Drosophila melanogaster: one gene and its partner. Changing the gene in region 1 together with any one later gene gives a genetic interaction. Each region holds a gene or a part of one and is shown in the gene's direction. Other genes may lie near its edges.

The links.
Region 2: of Fer3HCH (region 1) and fh, changing one suppresses a phenotype caused by changing the other (phenotypic suppression), as found in Drosophila melanogaster (2 studies listed by BioGRID).

The regions. Positions count from the first base shown.
Region 1 is NC_004354.4:13,106,831-13,109,960, reverse strand, and holds Fer3HCH (ferritin 3 heavy chain homologue), read left to right. Parts: upstream 1-1,766; 5' UTR 1,767-1,864; coding exon 1,865-1,999; intron 2,000-2,061; coding exon 2,062-2,487; 3' UTR 2,488-2,579; downstream 2,580-3,130.
Region 2 is NC_004354.4:9,147,525-9,150,951, reverse strand, and holds fh (frataxin), read left to right. Parts: upstream 1-1,880; 5' UTR 1,881-1,939; coding exon 1,940-2,257; intron 2,258-2,326; coding exon 2,327-2,581; 3' UTR 2,582-2,872; downstream 2,873-3,427. Other genes in the region: Bap111 (brahma associated protein 111kD), read right to left, coding at 1-1,529; CG7065 (uncharacterized protein), read right to left, coding at 3,329-3,427. UniProt on the Drosophila melanogaster protein: Promotes the biosynthesis of heme as well as the assembly and repair of iron-sulfur clusters by delivering Fe(2+) to proteins involved in these pathways.

The DNA.
Region 1 (3,130 bases):
ATGTAATAGATATTTTAGCAGCTTATATTTATACCAAAATTAAGATGGTACACATTTATAACACTTAATTATATACATACAATTGAATATTTTTTTAATATATAGTTTAATTTTTGGAACAAGTTTGTATGCTCTTTGAAAGAGTATCATGCCGACAATAGCTCAAATCGATTAAATATTTTCGTATGCCGTACGCTATTTTCGACCTCATGTTCAGCAAATTATGTTGGATTTTGTTTTTTTTTTTTTACCTCATATGCTGACGTTTGAGTTTTGTGTTAACACGTCGAATGTATATAAAAATTTTTTTGTGACTCCGCAGCTTAATTTAATGTTAATAATTTGTTGCACGTTTTTATGACACTGCAAACTGGATTGTTGCCATTATTTTGGAGGTGATGTAAATGTGTCGCTGAAGCTGTCACACTTGTCCAAATTAAAATCTTGTTGGCATTACGGGAGTGGAATTTGAAATTTAACTGAGTTCCGATGTGGATTTTGTTGAAATTCAATATGCTTAAGTAATTATAGAACTTTAATGCCTGTAAAATCTTCTACAAAATTCTAGAAATTTTTCTGTGTTCAAAAGCCTTTCCATTTGACCCTTAAATATTGAATAAGATAATAATTTTCATTTTTATTGCGACTGTTGCATAATGAACTAAACATGTTAATTGCCTCTATAAACACACAAGATCATATGTCATCGTTCACTTAATAAGTGTATATATTATTTAATCACAATCATAGGGAAAATTGTTTCATAATGCTTGAAAAAAAAAAACGTAAAGACTCATCTAAAAATGTTTGCTATTTTTTATTTGGGTTGTTATTGTCCAGTTCAACGATGATTTGCATAACTCCTATGTGTTTTTTTTCTCGGTTCGTTTTCCTGTGTGTCGGTGAAAATGAACCATTTATATCTTTATTATTGCCTTTTTATGGGGCGCACATGGCTTCAAGAGTCACCATTGCTTTGTTGGTTTTTTAAATGTGCGTAATGAGTGGATGTTTGTAGTAAAGTGCGAGTAGTTTTGACCACCTGGATGTTTATAGGAAATGTTTGGAAACCTCGGCTTGGGAGATCTTTACATTTTCAATACCCTAAACCTGTAAGACGCGTTGAACTCGCCTACGAAAGCATTTCATTTGAAATACAAAATATAATATTATGTTTTCTATCCTTTAATAAATTAAATTTCTTATTTTAACTTGCATTGGCTGTCGCAATTTTCTGTATCAGCAATATTTTGGGAAAAGCGTTCAAATACCCTATGAGAAAGGGTATAACACGATTATACAAAACTCGGACAAAAGTCGTCTTCCATTCACTTAATAAAAGACAATAACTGCGTTTACTTAGTGTGTCCGTGTTCGTGTGTACTTGTTGAAGTTAAAGCAAACATATCTGGACACAGATATTTAACTATATATGTACATATATACATATGTATCTGTATCTATAAGCTATACGTACGAACGTATATAGATGCGAACAAACCGAGTGAGAGATTGTGTACACACTATTGCTAAGTGGAAGTTAAGTGAAATCAGAGCCGGCAGCACTTTGAACTCCAACCCGTTGTTTTTTGGCCGTCCGAACGGTGGATCAACACCTCCTCCAGATCGCGAGATCGGAGATCGATGCGGAGATGTGAAGATCTGGATATTTGGAGATGAGATCAATGGACGAACTTAGATGGATCGTATCCGATCCATCGACACCTGTCCGAACCGACCCAGTTGCCTTTTAGACACACTGTTTGTGTTTTGACTTTCAATTCCAAATTGTATAGGTTTCTAAATTTTCAAAAACAAAAAAAAAAAAAAAAGATAGAAAAAAACTCAAAAAGAAGCAAAAGACATGGCGTGGTGCTTCCGCGACATTCGGCGCCACATGTGCATGCTGGTGCGTCAGAACTTCGCCAAAAGTTGCGAGAAGAAGCTAAACGATCAGATCAACATGGAGTTGAAGGCATCCCACCAGTATCTGGCCATGGTAAGGTTCCGCAGTCAATAGGGAATATATATATATGCATATAGTACGTTCAATACACGTAGGCCTACCATTTCGATCGCTCCGATATCAGTTCACCCGGAATGCATCGATTCTTCCTAAAGGCGAGCGTCGAGGAGCGGGAGCACGCGGAGAAGATCATGACGTACATGAACAAGCGTGGTGGTCTAATCATTTTGAGCAGTGTACCACAGCCGTTGCCCTGTTTCGCCAGCACCTTGGATGCACTAAAGCACGCAATGAAAATGGAACTGGAGGTCAATAAGCATCTGCTCGATTTGCACGCCCTGGCTGGCAAGGAAGCGGATCCGAATCTCTGCGATTTCATCGAGGCCAATTTCCTGCAGGAGCAAGTGGATGGCCAGAAGATTCTGGCCGACTATATTAGCCAATTGGAGAAGGCACAAAACCAGGTGGGCGAATTCCTGTTCGACAAGTATATGGGCAGCGGCATGCATCCTGCGAAATGAATACCTCAAAATGGACAACCATCCGATGAAGAATACGTATTATAATTGGCAAACCCATGTGTGTTCAGTAAAGATTCGTTTTTTGGCCGATCAATTGTTTTTTTTTTTTTTTTTTTGCTGCCACATTATCAAGTGGCTGGCGTAAAACTAACTCTATAAATATACTCGCTTATCGGCTCCAAGAGTTGCGCAAGATTCTAATTGAAATCGACACCGAAACTGAGTCCAAAAACAAAGCTTCACGAAATCAACAGCTAAACCCATCTGATAACCCTTTAGTTGGACCACAGTGTTGATGGTATTGGATAGTAACTCATCTGCTTTATCCAGTTCTGTAAATACGTTTCTAATCAAATGACACAATATTTCTGTTATATATATGATAACAGTTGATAATCTCGAATCTATAAAGATAAAAGTTAAAAGAAGCCTGACATTTAACTACGCTTGTTCTACCCATTATATAATAAAACACTTGGAACTTGATGATGAAGCAGTTGGTCTATATGATAAGCATTTGTGACGTATTAATAGGTTATCTATATCTATATAGATTGAGATCGTGAAAGTCGGCAAGACACGACAAATATAGTAACTCATTCATTTAGTTACATAGAATATAATATGAAATAAGTACAGAATT
Region 2 (3,427 bases), 4.0 Mb from region 1:
GGCGTTGGTGTCGTCGTCGTTGTTGTGGTCGCTGCAGTAGCTGCTCCGGCCGCTGGAGCCACCTCAGGCGGCGGTGTGGGTGTCGGCACCGGTGTGGGCACCTTGCCGGGCTGGGCCACCACTTTGGCGGGTTCCGTTTTGGGTGGCTCGACTAGCGTTGACTGCGGAGGCAGGGCAGCGGCCATCTCCAGCTTCTCTGGCTTGATGGGTGGCGGCGGAACCGATGGCTTCGGCGGTGGCTCAATGTCCATGGGCTCGGGATCCGTTTTGCTGGCAGTTTCGTGCACGTGCACCGCTGGCGCCGGCGTAGGCGTTGAACTCGGTGTGGGATTGAGTGTAGCGGGCTTCACAGCCGGCGGTGTCTCCTTGGGCGGAGCTGCTGGCGCTGGTACCGCCGACGCCGGCTCTTGGCCAGCGGGTGTGGCAGCGGGCTGACCTGGCTGCGTTGGCGGCTTCACTGCCTCCTCGCTCCTCGTCACTGGAGCGGCGGCAGCTGTAGCGGCAGCTGCAGCAGGATTCGCTGCGCTATTCGCATTCGCATTCGGTTCATCCAATCGCTGGCGATCGCGCTTGATGTCCTCGTACATGCGAAGCACCATCTTCTGGAAAGTTTCCTCGTCGACCGCCGGCTTGCAGTGGCGCTTTAGCTCCTCCTGGAAGGCTTCGCTGGACTCCACCATGCGCTGCTTCTTGGCCTCGAACTTCTCCTCCATCTGCTGCAGTTCCGCCTCAAGTTTGGTCTGGTGCATCGTCAACGAGCTGACCTGCCGCTTGAGCACCTGCATCCGCGTGGTGGTCACCACTGAACGCACATCTGGTACAACGGCCTCCGAGAATATCTCGTTAATCAGGCGATGGTTGTGCAGATAGCGGGCGTAGGCCAAGTGCTTGGTCGTATACCCTTCGTCCTGGTCATCCTCGTCCTCCGCCGGCTGAATGTCGATGCGTCGCTCATGCTGCGACTTACTGCCGCCACCGCGTGACGGTGTCTCATGCATATCCACGTCGGTCTTCACCTTGCTCTTGGCCGACATGTAGGCCTGATAGGCGGGCGTCTGGTGGTAGGCCTTTAGCGATTTCTCGTACTCCAGCTTCTCCGCCTCGTATTCGTCAATGAACTCCGTCTTCTCATCCTCGGGCAGCAACTTCCACATGGCACCGATCTTCTTACCCAGCTCCCACAGCTTCAGCTCTGGATGCTTCGCCTTGACGCTATCCCAGACGCGTTTCGAATACCGCATGTAGGGCAAAATGGGCTTCTCCGGCGGCTTTGGTGGCTTGGGTAGCCTTGATTCGTTCTGGTTCTTGCTGCTCGACGACTTGGTTACCTTCTGTGGCGTGAATGCCGGATTCCCATAGTTGCTGTGCGTGAAGATGGGCGTCTGATCCTTGTTGCGATCGCCACCACCTCCGCCGCCGGATGAACGCGACCGGCTGCCGCCGCCGGAGCCACCGCCGCCGCCCTGGAGTGGTGTGGCCGATCCCTGGCCGCCAACGGCTATCTGCTTGTAGTTGCTTGGCAGGGCCATCTTTGTGCAATTCGCTGGTCAAATTTGTATGGATTTTCCAAGAGAAATAACAATTTTCAGACAGACGCCATTTTCTGTCGGCGTTGGTGGAGGTGTGGCCGTATCTGATTCTAAGAAAAATCATATAAGCCGGGAATTGGTATATATAGCGGAATATATATGATAAGGAAATAGTAACTGCTAGAGAATATACAAAATTTTAGTTACCTAAAACTAGCAGAACACTTTAGCTGAATTGCTGCTACTAATAAAAAAAATCTGTAACTTCTCATTTTTATTCAGCTTTATAGAAATCAAAAATTATACCACACTAGAATCTAGAAAATACCAACGGCAAATCATTTTCCATTAAGTTGGCAGCCCCGCAACTGGGATTTGTAAAATATAAACAAATCGTAAACAACTAAAAAATGTTTGCCGGTCGTTTGATGGTCCGTTCGATCGTTGGTCGGGCATGCTTGGCCACCATGGGCAGGTGGTCAAAGCCCCAAGCACACGCCAGCCAAGTGATCCTGCCCAGCACACCAGCGATAGCCGCAGTTGCTATTCAATGCGAGGAATTCACTGCCAACCGGCGATTGTTTAGCAGTCAAATTGAGACGGAATCCACATTGGACGGCGCCACCTACGAGCGTGTGTGCTCCGACACCCTGGACGCACTGTGCGACTACTTCGAGGAGCTGACGGAGAACGCCTCCGAGCTGCAGGGCACGGATGTGGCTTACAGCGTAGGTGACATTCGGCTATTACATCATTCCATTGACCTGCTAATCCTCGCGGGGTTTCCGCTTCCACAGGATGGCGTGCTAACCGTGAACCTGGGAGGACAACACGGCACCTATGTGATCAACCGGCAGACGCCCAACAAGCAGATCTGGCTCAGTTCGCCCACCAGCGGTCCCAAGCGATACGATTTCGTCGGCACTGTGGCGGCGGGCAGATGGATCTACAAGCACAGTGGTCAGTCGCTGCACGAACTGTTGCAGCAGGAGATACCCGGCATACTGAAGTCACAGTCCGTGGACTTCCTACGCCTGCCCTACTGTAGTTAATTCCGTGATTAGTTTAAATTCTCCTCCATAAAAAGTCGGTTGAAACGTTCGATTTTGATATATTTATTGTTCTTCATCTGTTGGCACAGTGGTCACTCGATATACATGGAACTGCTGCTGCTGCGGATGAGCAAAGGTATATACTTATACTTCCCTGGAGCTGTGAAGCTTAGCTTCTGGTATAAATGCTTTGCATTCGCTTATTCATTTATGTACGATTAGTTTTGGTTTCGAAGTTTAAATTTGTTGTTTTTGAGAGGAATAAACTTAAAAATCAGTTGTTTAATGTATAAATCAAATAATAATAATCAAATCACCATTGAAGAACATCATATGTAGCTATACATATTTTATTTTATTTTATTATTTGTCACTTGTACGTTCCATTTCGTTTATTTTTATTTCAATACACAGAATTCAGAACTCAAAGCTCCCCCAGCTAATAATTCCAAACGAAAGTCGATTAAAGTTGATTTCCGGAATTATTGTGTATGTTTATTCACGTGCTCTTCAGATTTATGTTTTCTGAATTCTATTGTTGTTCGGTGTTTTATAAACAAATGAAGGTAGTGATTATTTTCTTTTCTTTTTTTTGGCAGCAGCACACATGTATGGTAAAAAAAAAAATAATAAAAATCACTTGCCAGCTAGCAGATACACGGGCACTTCAAAGGGCGTTATTCTCGTTTCTACATTACGTTTAAATTGCATAACGTTAATAGTATGGATATCTAAGTCTACGACACTCTAGTGACGTCCACCGAACATGTTGTTAAAGTGCGGCTGCTGCTGCTGCTGCTGCTGCTGGGCACCCATAAAGTTCTGGGGCATCTGGTTGAAGGGCGG